Ovis aries: one gene and its partners. The protein of the gene in region 1 interacts with the protein of each later gene in a pairwise test. Links are inferred from orthologs where the notes say so. Each region holds a gene or a part of one and is shown in the gene's direction. Other genes may lie near its edges. The genes, in order: AP1G1, UBL7 and AP1S2.

Region 1 (3,613 bases):
TAGAGGTGCCTCAGTTGTGACCTTTATGGTTGGATGACCTATATGATTTGTATTAATCCTTTAAAGGATAAAAATCTTTTTCAAACTGTGACTCTCTTTTGACAGCAACCTTTGGTGCAAGTGGCTGCATGGTGTATAGGTGAATATGGAGATCTTCTTGTATCTGGCCAATGTGAAGAGGAAGAGCCTATTCAGGTACCCTTTGTCACTCTTGGTTAAGAAAAGGGAAGACAGTGTTTTTGTTTTAAGAGTAGTGTTTAATGCTTTGAAGTCGATTCCTTGAAAACCTTTTAAAGACGCAAGGGTGGAATCATAGATTCATTGGAAAGCTTGCTCAGTTTTCAGTTGGAACCTACTGGGCCATTGTGAGATTTGAAACTCACCTTTAGGTCCCTCTCCCCACCCCATCATAGTGACTTACATTGTTTCTCTTACCTTCTGGCTGAGGAGAAGTGAGAGTGTCATGTTTCCATTTTTTTCTCCCCAGGTAACAGAGGATGAAGTGTTGGATATTTTAGAAAGTGTCCTAATATCTAATATGTCCACCTCTGTGACACGAGGTTATGCCCTCACTGCTATTATGAAGCTTTCTACTCGATTCACCTGTACTGTAAAGTGAGTATGGAGAAAAAGGGTGAATGCGATATATTTTTTAAAAACTTTTATTTTGGGAAACTTCAAGCAAAGGCAAAAGTAGAATAGTAAAATCAACTGCCTATACCTCTTACTCCTCAGTAACAGTCATCACTTCATGGTTAATCCTTATTAGATCTATACTTTGCTCCCTGTCATCCCTTCATCCCACCACTGCTTAATTTGAAGGTAAAAACTAATGTTTTTAAAATCAGGTATCTGATGTCTGTTTATTTTTTTAAAGTACTGAAGTTATTTTCCCATGTAAAGGTTCTGGTTTATTATAATTTGAGATATCTGAATTGGAAGAAAATCATTTTGGTGTTTAAATCTTTAAATTTTGCTTTTTTAAAAAAAGCCACTGTTTTGAATAGAACTCAATTCTTGGGTCAGTTTCCCAGTCAAGCATATTTAATATAAACTTAGTTCTCTCAGATGTTTTGCTTTTGTTTTTAATGTAAAGCCTCATGAAGAATGATATTTTTTACTGTTTAAATTGTGAAGTATAAGAATTTGGTATTAGGCAGTGACACTTTGCTTATAAAAGTCTGATGCTATGACCCTTTTGTTGATAAAAGCTTACTACTGTAAAGTTATTAAAGAAGGGAATGAATACTATAAATTTGTTATTTTATAGCAAATTAATAATTGGTACTTTTGTTTATCAAATTTTAGGGTATGAGATATTAAGATGAACATTTCAAAATTTTAACCAGAAACCTCTGTTTTAAACACTGTTCTTTCTGCTTGTTTATGAATTTTCTTTTGGATGTTTGAATTTGTTTGTCGTTTTATCCCAAAGCCGAATTAAGAAAGTGGTTTCCATCTATGGAAGCAGCATTGATGTGGAACTCCAGCAGAGGGCAGTAGAATATAATGCACTTTTTAAGAAATACGACCATATGAGGTAAGTGAAAGAAACCGAACAATGCATGTGCCTCTTAGCATCCCAAACACTTTCTCATGATAACCCGTAAAGGAGTTTCACCCCTCATGCTTTATTGGTGGGACATCACAACCCCGTTCAGTTCTTGCGGCTTGGCTACTTGTGTTTTGTTCGTCTTCTGTTCTGCCTAGCCTCTAAAGAAATAAGTGAACCGTGTTCTTTTAGTCCCCTTTTCCCCTTTCTCTTGGTAAGGAAAGTTTTCTTCATTTCCATTTTATTTGGTGAAGAAGTGAGAGTTGTTTCATCTCAGGAGAATCTCATTGAGATATCATTACTATTACCATTGTGAACTGCTAATATGTACTTGTTTATCTTTCTTTCATTCCAATTTCTCTGTCACTTATAATTCTCAGGCTCTTGGGATTTAGATGGACAGTTTGTCCATTCAAGGTTTCCTGCCTGCCCTTAATCCAGTCAGGAATGTAGGTCACGTATTCTTGTAATCCAGCTTCTATTTTAGTATATGTGTTGGGATGTGGGGAGGGGAGAGGTCTCTCCACATTTGGCTGGAGTACAGTTAACAGTGATTGTTTTGGGTAGGGAATCTAGGTTAACTGCCTAGAATTTAACCACTTCAGATTCTTCCAGGTCTGCCCTTCTTGAGAGAATGCCTGTCATGGAGAAAGTGACCACAAATGGCCCTACTGAGATTGTACAGACAAACGGAGAGACAGACCCAACTCCTCTAGAGACAAAGCCACCGCCCTCGGGGCCACAGCCCACCAGCCAGGTAGCTTTTCCCTTGCTTATCCTCATGATCTTCTGGTTCCTTAGACCCTATTTCTTAGGTGATTCCCTTCAGTGTTCCTGGGTTGATTGATAATTCTGTTCCCTGTTTTTAAGTATTGAAGGGGCTTTGTGTTAGATAACAGATTAGACAGTGACAATGAATAAGATATTATTTTCTTGTTTAGGCCAATGATTTATTGGATTTGTTGGGAGGAAATGACATAACACCTGTTATTCCAACTGCACCTACAAGCAAACCAGCTTCTGCTGGTGGAGAGCTTCTTGATTTGCTGGGAGACATCAACCTTACAGGTGAGGCCAGACTAGAGTTAATTTCATGCTTGGCCAGGGATAAGGGCCTTAGGGAAAAACTACACTGAATGTAGACTTTCTGTCTAGCACATGAGACAGTTGAAGAATGGAGAGGGTAAGTGACAAAAAACAAGAATCTTCACAACTTCTGGCCTATGTTGCCATACTAATACTCTAGAGGTAATTCATAGAGATTCCTCAAAGTCTAATTTTTAATTTTTGGAGAGTAAATTACTCAGTGTTTTAAGACAGAACAGTCTCAGGCTAGAAAAGAAGCACATCCCAAGAAATACATGACTTTTTCTAGGTTTCTTTCTACTCATGGTTAGTTTCCAAGAGCTGTGGCCTTCTGTGGAGAGTGGAAAGATGTTAACCTGTTTTCCTCTTTCCTTCTCGCCCTTTCTTTCTCCTTCGTGTTAAAGCAATGGAAGGATAAAATTATCCAGGGTTATAATATTCAAACATAACTTTTCATTTGGGGATATCTTATTTTTATTGACATGTAGTAGAAATTTATAATTAGTGTGTCTGCAGATACTGTAAACACAAGAGGTCAAGAGAATATCACTGTAGCATATAATTTCTATCTTAAGTGACTTCTCTAAAAGTAAAATGGAGAGTTACAGCATACATGACCTTGAGTGGAAAACGGCCATAGGTTAAGGATGTTGGATGCTAATCTAGACAGGCTATCACAGACTTAAAGGTTTTTTCCTAACATAACTGCCTCCCAGAACTTATGGTTTATATTTATGTCTTAACAAAATTTCAAAATATTGCTTGTCATTGCTTAGGGCCATTCACAGTCAGTTTCAGATCCCGGGATGCCAAAGCTGTCCTGAACATACGGAAAAACAGGAACAACCCCATTTGAAACATAGTGTTTGGGGACCTTCCTGGCAGTCCAGTGGTTAGGACTCTTGTGCTTTCACTGCCATGTGCCCAGGTTCAGTCCCTGGTCAGGGAACTAGGATCTCACTGGCTGTGTGGTGA
Region 2 (4,283 bases), on another chromosome or scaffold:
TCCATGTCCAGTTCTAACTGTTTCTTCTTGACCTGCATACAGATTTTTCAGGAGGCAGGTAAGGTGGTCTGATATTCCCATTGCTTTAATTTTTCAGTTTACTGAAGAATAGAGTAGTAATTAGCTCCAGTGCTAGGCCCTCCCAGAACCTGAAGTTTATCTGCTCTACATAGTCAAGCTATCCTGCTCAGTTGTTGCTTTAGTTTCAGTCCATACACTGGAATGTTGCAGTCCTGCTTTTACGTTTGTGCACACCCAATCAGTCTTTAGTTGCGAGGATCACCTCATTATTTTCTTATATATTTACCTGTTTTTTTTGTTTTTGTTTTTTTGGCTTTCTTTAGTCTTTGAATGAGTTCCTCCAGGAGAGTTCGAACAGAATAGTTTATCTAATTCTAATCTCTGGGCAAAAAAATCTATAACTATGCATCTAAAATGCACTCGACTGTACAATACCAGTTTTACGCACGGGATTTAAGTATTCGCGTATTTTGGTATCCACGAGGGGCTCCTGAAAGCAATCTCCTGTGGATACCATGGACGACGGTATGCAGTTTCTCTGAGAGTTCAGTGAAATTCCCCTTCCCGAACTAATTCTATGAATGACTGATATAAACCCCACTACTGCACGTTGGGGCGTACCAGGAACCCTTGGTAACTTCTCTCAAGGTACCAACTTTTAGGGGAACTCATCGTTGGGTTCCTAGTATGCCTTCACAGGCATGTTCGCCACGAAAAGCCAGAAGCGAGGAGCACAAAGGAAGCTGACTTCACTCAAAGACAGGCCGTTTCCTAGTGAAGATGACAAGGCTGGGGCGAGTCTGAACAAGGATATTCAACAGGGAGTCTGAAGAGGCCGCTCCGGAAAGGGTCCTTGCCGAGCGACGACGGGTCGAAGCAGGAGACCCAGGGCCGAGAGTCCGGAAACCGGCGTTCCCATCTGCAGCGCTGGACGGACCTGGCGTAACCTGCGGACTCTGTATGCGAACCAGGACATTGAAGGAATCGTGGGGCTGTAAACATCACACCTGGAACCCACCTGTCAATGCAGGAGACAAAAGATACGCCGGTTCGATCCCTGGGTCAGGAAGATCCCCTAGAGGAGGGCGTGGCAACCCACTCCAGTATTCTTGCCTGGAGAATTTCACGGACAGAGGGGTCTGGCGGGCTGCAGTGCGTGGGGTCGCAAAGAGTCGGACAGGACAGAAGCGACTTAGCACGCGCGCATGCAAACCTCACGCCAGACCTCGTTCCCGTAACCTGTGTCTTGGAAGACTGACTGATACCTAAGACCCTCACGCGCAAGCTCGAAGACACCCTCGCGCCCGGACTTTCAAACTGCAGAGGAGCCACACCCCCGGAAACCGGAAGCTTTACAACTAGCTCCCCCTTGCCGGCCGGCTGTTTATAAAGGGGCGGGGGTGGGGCGGGGTGGTGGGGCGCCGCCTCAGGAACTGCAACTCCCAGAATGCAGCGCGGAGCTTCCGGTTTCCGGCGAGAGGACCTGAGTGAGTGTTTACACCGGCGGCCCTGCGGCCGGGTTCCTTCCGCGGGACGGGTGAGGGCGCTGGGTCCCGGGCCGCGCGGGATCGACCTGTGGTGACTAGATAGCTGGTTCTGTGGGAGTGGAGGGGTCGTCACCAAAGAGATAGTGTCCCTGTCGCAATATTAACTATCAGTGACCTTGGGCCGCAGACTTCACTTTTCTAGATCTCGGTTCCTTCGGCTGTAATATGTAGATGAAAATGCCTGTCTCAGAACAGTTGTGAGGATTAAATGATACATAGTATATTAAAAGATCCATTTTCTTCCCCGCCATCAACCTGGAGATGGAAATTTGAGGGTGCCTTAGGATCTGCTGCACAGCCTCGAAACCTTTTCTTTCCTCTTCCAAAGAAGCCACTTTGGAAGCAATAATAATTCTAACAAGGGCTTGTCTTGTCTTATTTCTCCCAACCGCCGGGTTTCTGATTCATTTTCTGGATACCCATAAATACCGGGCATTGAGTCAATAAAGACAAAATTCTAGTCTTTGCTTTCAAGAGCCTCTAAGAATGAGATGCAGAGACGACTGAGAAGTAAATAGTATAGGTATTTGTAACCCTTTGTCATGAGGGAATGTGACAACAACAGAGGGGGGAAAGAGAGAGAGAATAGAGGAGGTTGTGTTTGAGTTGCTCTTGATCGGAGTTTGATTAGAGAGGGAAGAGGGAAGAGGAGTTATATGCAGAGTTAGATGAGCGGAGTGGGGGAGAGCTTTGTTTTGAATTCATGCTTGGTGGGGGTGGACTTAAGTGTTGGGAAGGGTGGGGCAGTCCAGAGCTCTTGAGAGGGGAAGGCTGGTAGAGAGAACAGATGTGGATGTTTTTAAAAGCCAGGCTGTGGTGTTTAGACTTATTCATAGAAGTGATTTGAATTCTAAACAGAGGAGTATATTGATCAGATCTGCATTTTAAAATGATGAGTGGCAGCATGGATGTTTAACAGGGAGAAGCAGGAGGCAGGGAGCTTCTGGTAAAGCTGTTGTGGTGGTTAAAACAAAAGTTGATGAAGAAACATGGAGTGTGTGTAATGTAAGGGAGAGGGTTGGATGATCTCATTTGAACTTCACAACGCTCCTGTTAGGTGGGATGGCATTTTTATGTCCACTGTAAAGCCAAAGAGGCTTAGAGAGCTGAAGTTTCCTGCTGCCATAGAATGAGTGAAAAGAGGACCTCAGATTCTAGTTCAGGCCTCCTGATGCTGCAGCCTGAGCTTTTCCAACAGAGTCACAGAGAATTCTCATTCAACCCCTTGGTGGGGTGGGGGTGGTGTAGGTCTGTCTAACCACTAAGGCTTTGTTCCTTTACAGGGAGAAAGAGAGAGCGCGAAAGAGAGAGGATGTCTCTCTCAGATTGGCACCTGGCGGTGAAGCTGGCTGACCAGCCACTTGCCCCCAAATCTATTCTTCGGTTGCCAGAGACAGAGCTCGGAGAATACTCCCTGGGGGGATATAGTATTTCATTTCTGAAGCAGCTTATTGCTGGCAAACTCCAGGAGTCTGTTCCAGACCCTGAGCTGATTGGTGAGTCTCTGTGTACTCGGGATGGGCTTCTGCTCTGATTCTTTTGGGGGAGAATCATTCTGGAATCACAAGTGTAAATTAAGAGTTTGGGATTTGTTGTCTCATAATGTAAACACTGGGCTGCCCTGGTGGATCAGTGGTAAAGAATCTGCCTACCTATCCAGGAGATGTGGGTTCAGTCCCTGGGTGGCGAAGATCCCCTGAAGAACGAAATGGCAACCCAATCCAGTATCCTTGCCTGGGAGATGCCATGGGAGGAGGAGCCTGATGGGCTACAATCCATGGGGTCGCGAAAGAGTCTGACTTAGAGAGTAAACGAAAACAAATGTTAAGCTGGGAAGTGATTGTTGTTAGGTGAATAGAAACAAATCATATAATAAAACTGTTGGTTGCCATTTTAGCTGTACAATATACTGAAATACTTCATCACGACATTCCTTAACTATGACATTCTTTGAAAGAGCAAGAACTTGGGTTGGAAGGAGGTGCTGGCTAGGGAAAGGCCCTTAGTATATGGCATTTGAGGTAAGTCTTAAGGGATGGTTAGAAGGATTGTTGGTTGGTTGGTTGGTTGGTTAGAGGGAAAGTGAAAGTGAAGTCGCTCAGTGGTGTCTGACTCTTTGCAACCCCGTGGACTGTAGGCCACCATGCTCCTCTGTCCATGGGATTTTCCAGGCAAGAGTATTGGAGTGGGTTGCCATTTCCTTCTTCAGAGGATCTTCCCAACGCAAGGATCGAACCCAGGTCTCCCGCATTGTAAGCAAGACAGTTTACCGTCTGACCCACCAAAAAGGAGAGATGGCAAGGGCATTCTAGGTGGAGGAAGAAGGAATTTAAATATAAATTATTTCTTTCTCTTTTTATTTTTGACTATGCTGTGTGGTGTGCAGAATCTTTGTTGCCTGACCAGGGATCAAACCCTGGACTCCAGCATCACTTTCAGAAAGAGAATATAATTAAATTGTATTATTAATGCAATAGCATATAAACTAGAAAAGTGGTATAAACTGGCAAAAAGTATATTTTCAGTCATGCATGCGAAGTCTCTTCAGTTGTGTCCAACTCTTTGCAACCCCATGGACTGTAGCTCACCAGGCTCCTCTGTCCATGGGATTCTCCAGCCCAGCTGGAGTGGGTTTCTGTGTCTTCCTCCAGAGGCTCTTCTTAATCCAGGGATCAAACTCATGTCTCTTAAGTCTTCTGCACTGGCAGGTGGGTT
Region 3 (4,345 bases), on another chromosome or scaffold:
GCATAGCAGTGTCTGAAAGGGGAGGTAATATACATTTTTATCTTGCCAAAGAAGGGCATTAAAAAATGCCCCCAAATCCCTATTATGTACTTAGTTTTACAGACATTTTAACACACGTGAAAAGAACACAATCCCTAATAAAGGATTCCTTTAGATTGATTAAACTTCGCTTCCTAGAAAACTTTCCCTTTGGGCCATTAAAAAATTCTGGCGACTATGTTTGGGTGCCTCTGCAAAAAGGCCATAGCTTAACAAAAGCAATATTCTAAATTTCCTTTGTAAGAACCGGTGACTGGGATAATGAATAGCGTTCGACATAAGAAACCCGTGGCTGCTCAAGCAAGGTCACTTAATCCCGTGGGGCTCCCCTTTACTCATCTGTAAAAGATGAGTCGGACTGGATGATTCAACCACTCTCTCAATCGAAAAAAATGGACATCCATTATGTGCCAGACACAATGCTCAGCACCATGGCTCTTAACAAACAAATCTACCGTTTTAGAGTCCTTATCAGTCAACTCACATTTATTAGAGGTGTTACATACCAGGCAGAGAACTAGGCTGGGATGTAAAATGAATAAAACTCAAGATGTGCTAATGGGTATATGGGTGAGTGAGGCTTCATAGGAGCTGTGACATTTGAGAGCAAGGGCATGCCAGGCAGAGAAAGTCGTCGGCAAGACTAAACTGGAACCCAAGCGGCTGTGGGGGAGGTGAGGGTGAAAGAAGCGGAATCTAGAAGAGGTGCCGGTCGGGCTTTTCAGCAGGGAACGGACAGTAACTCCTCAGGTTCGCAGCACTGAGGATGAGCGAGGCAAGCCCCGGCAAGAGACAGTTGCAGTTTGGGGCGAAAAGGTGTCTAGGACTGCAGCACTGCGATGGGAAGGGCCGGATTCCGGGTGGTTTTGAGGCAAAGTAATTGCAAAAAAGCCCTCTAAACGCGGGCACGAGCTCCACGAAAGAGCTTTGTTTTCTTCCGAGTTGCAGCACTCCCTCTCTCCCCTCACCAACAGTACCGGCCATTAAACGGCCCCGTCCCACCCTCTCGGGGCACCGAGAGTTGTCGGAGCTCGAATGCGGTTCTTGGAAGTACGGACCTTCCCTGCCCAGCTTAGTACGGTCAATAAACGGCACAGTGAAACACTGTCTTCTCTCCACAAAATAGACCCGACAGCCGCGCGCGTCAGAGAAGCGCACTCAGGAGAGCGCAGGCGCGCCAGCCCTGGCAACAGCCGCTTCCGGGTCACGTGGCCTGGCTTCCGGTCCGGACCTCCCTCTCGGTAGAGACGCGGCCAATCAGATTCCTCGGACTTCGCGGTCACCTGAGCTGCCTTCGGAGCCGTTGGCAACAGCCGAGCTGCAGCCAGCGCACCGCCCAGCCCGCCCCTCTGCTCGCCGCAGCCCCGGCTCCTCCCTCGTCCGGCCCCCGGGGCGGGGTCTGTCGGCTCGCCCTCCCCTCTCAGCCTAAGCCTTCCCTCCGCGAACCGGGTCCCCTCCCCACAGCAAAACGGCTTCTCTTCCTCAGCTCAGCGACAGGGGCTTCCCCTTAGTCGCCGCCGCCGACGCTGCCGCCGCCGCCGCCGCCGGCCGAGCCCCGCCGCAGTCGCGGCCCGCGGCCGCCGTAAGTCCCGGGAGGCGAGCGGGGACACCGGGGTCGGGGAGTGGGGAGGGAGGGTCGGGCGAGCCCCCCGCCGCCCAACGAGCGCCTGGACGACCCCACCCCGCGCCCGCCCGCCCGGCCCGCTACTGGGGCACCGCGCCCCGAAACTCACTTCTCTTTGCTTCCGCGCCCCTCTCCACTCGGCGCCGCGTCCCGGGCTGCGGGGGCCAGTTTCGGACGCTGCAGCGGGTCCGCGGCACCTGTGGTTTGGGAATCGCCTCAAGTTTTGCGGGGCATTTGCGGGCGGGGTCGGCGGCCGGGGGCGGCGGAGACGGAGGACTCTTGGCGCCCCCTGCGCGGCGGCGGTTGCCATTGTCTTCCCCGCTCCTTGCTTGTCACCTCGCCCGGGCTCGATCGGTCAGTGATGGAGTGCGGCCCCGTGGGGCGGCGGGCAGGCAACGGCCCCTGGCCCCGAGCCCGCTCCGCGGCCGAGCCCATTGTTTTTAATACCAATCTCCAGGAATTGAGGCGCCTTGTGATTTGAAGCAAAATCGGAGCGTTGGTTTTTAACTAGAGGGAAGGAATACTTGTGCCTTGCGACCAGGCATCATCCTATGTTAACATATAATTTATTTTAAAGAGCATAAATTATTTATTCGTCATATAAAGTGATGGTGGGGAGAGATGGAGGACCTTGCTATAGACTCCCTTGAGTCCTAGAGTTTCAAAAGCAAACCCCCAGTCCTCCTGGTCTCCAAGATCCTGGAATACGGGTCTGTTCTTTTCCAAGTTCTGCTAACGGGTTTGCGTGAAACATTGTCCAGTTGATGCGTTACTTGCTGTCCCTTTCTAATGTCGCTGTCTTAACAGGACTTCTGTATGAGGCACTTTGACATCACCAGTGTTGTTCGTTTATTTCGTGCCAGTGATGCGTTTTAAGTGTGATGTTAACAGCCAGTTTCAACTTTATTTAAGTTAAATTGTCGCATCGTAAATTTCTAAATACCTTATTGATGCCCGTTTGGATTATTACAAAAAGCGGCAATGATTTCTTGGTGAAATTTAGCGCCCATTTTATTCAGATGGATGGTGTAAATTCCCCCACCCCATGTTCAAATTCAGTATGGTGTGGTTAATACCAAGAGTCAGGCTGAATCCTACTTGCAGAAACTAGTACTGAAACTTAGAATAATTAAAAGAAAAGAAAATATCTAATTTCTACCTTTAAATTACCTTTGTAGAAACAATGCTTTCTGTTTGCAGTTGGGGAGACTGAATTACAAGAAGGTTTCCTTAAAAATTAAAACATGTAGACTAATCATCATTTGCAGATTCTAAATAAATGTATACAAAATAGTTTGTGTGAAATACACTAGAATTCAGCATCCACTCCATCTGTAGATGCTATGTTTTTAAATCGTTTTAAATGAAGTATTTCGTGTAATGTCTGAATGTGTGTAGCTCTTAGTTTGGCTTTTTAAAGGTTTATATTCTCTTCCGTAAAACTATATTAACTCACTTTATTGTGTGTATATTTATGTTGGAATTTTTAAAATGAGATGCGAATTTTTTTAATCAGGCTTTTATTAAGAAAAATGTGTTTATGGGATTTTTTTGGTTTATATTTTAGTTCTTTTGTTTTGCTTAAAATATGTAAACATAAACTGAAGACAGCATTTCAAGTTATAGCAGTCTGTCTACAAGTAATTCAGTTTGGCTCTAGAACAGCTTATTCTGTGTAGGGTGGAAAATAGTAGGTCTGTTTATTTCAAATGCATCTAAACCAGTTGATGTCAACAGTTCTCTTTTGATCCATATACATTCCTATAGCACACATACACAATAGTTTCTTAAATTGCAAGAATTATCTTTCTTTTTCATCAGAATTTTCACCTCACCTGTTTTTGTCCTCCCCCTCTCCTCCAAACTTAAATGGAACAGGGTGAGGTGGGAGGATTTGCATCTGGTGGAAAGATCTTTCTACAAGAATTTCCTGCTATTTTAACTAGCATAGAAATATTGATGGCTACTCATCATTTGTTGGCTAAACGCCCTGTCCCTCAAAGCTTCTCTTTGCCACGTGTCATCTTAATCTTAACTTTATTGAATCAAAGTATTGCCTGTAATCTTGGTTCTGTTTATCTTAACAGATGCAGTTTATGTTGCTTTTTAGTCGTCAGGGAAAGCTTCGACTGCAGAAATGGTATGTCCCATTATCAGACAAAGAGAAGAAAAAGATCACAAGAGAACTTGTTCAAACCGTTTTAGCACGGAAACCTAAAATGTGCAGCTTTCTTGAATGGCGAGATCTGAAGATTGTTTACAAAAGGTATAATTTTTATTTATTAGAAGGATGAAATAGAATCAGTTATTAGATCATTTATAATGTGGAAATTGCAGACTTTCAAGAGATTACATTTATAAATAAAGATTACTAAAGATATAAATGAAATAGTCTTAAGGTAAAGCTTTGTACTTTTAAGATAACTACTGTTTTGGTGAAATGATAAAATCATGGGACTCTTTTTAAACGAAATTATGTAACTAAAGGCATAAATGATACTTCATGCTTAATCATCTTTTTAGGAAAACTGAAAGAATTCATTTCTTTGCAGGGGAAAATAAAGTCAGTATTTTAAATTGTGTGAGTAATTTTCTGAATTTAGATAAGCATTTACCTCCCCCTCCTTTCTCCCCGCAAATCCGTAATGACTGGTATTCGATATGCCTTTTAATCTGACTTTC

Evidence for each region.
Region 2: the proteins of AP1G1 (region 1) and UBL7 interact in binary tests that used the Homo sapiens proteins (3 or more experiments, as listed by UniProt). The two-hybrid records come from large-scale screens. The link is inferred for Ovis aries from reciprocal best matches to the Homo sapiens genes AP1G1 and UBL7.
Region 3: the proteins of AP1G1 (region 1) and AP1S2 interact in binary tests that used the Homo sapiens proteins (3 or more experiments, as listed by UniProt). The link is inferred for Ovis aries from reciprocal best matches to the Homo sapiens genes AP1G1 and AP1S2.

Annotation. Positions count from the first base shown.
Region 1 is NC_056067.1:38,857,686-38,861,298, forward strand, and holds part of AP1G1 (AP-1 complex subunit gamma-1), read left to right. Parts: intron 1-105; coding exon 106-195; intron 196-487; coding exon 488-615; intron 616-1,435; coding exon 1,436-1,540; intron 1,541-2,167; coding exon 2,168-2,309; intron 2,310-2,493; coding exon 2,494-2,620; intron 2,621-3,613. UniProt on the Homo sapiens protein: Subunit of clathrin-associated adaptor protein complex 1 that plays a role in protein sorting in the late-Golgi/trans-Golgi network (TGN) and/or endosomes.
Region 2 is NC_056071.1:31,867,829-31,872,111, forward strand, and holds the start of UBL7 (ubiquitin-like protein 7), read left to right. Parts: upstream 1-1,470; 5' UTR 1,471-1,508; exon of another isoform or gene 1,509-1,558; intron 1,559-2,851; 5' UTR 2,852-2,880; coding exon 2,881-3,064; intron 3,065-4,283.
Region 3 is NC_056080.1:14,009,383-14,013,727, reverse strand, and holds the start of AP1S2 (AP-1 complex subunit sigma-2), read left to right. Parts: upstream 1-1,499; 5' UTR 1,500-1,621; intron 1,622-3,750; coding exon 3,751-3,929; intron 3,930-4,345. UniProt on the Homo sapiens protein: Subunit of clathrin-associated adaptor protein complex 1 that plays a role in protein sorting in the late-Golgi/trans-Golgi network (TGN) and/or endosomes.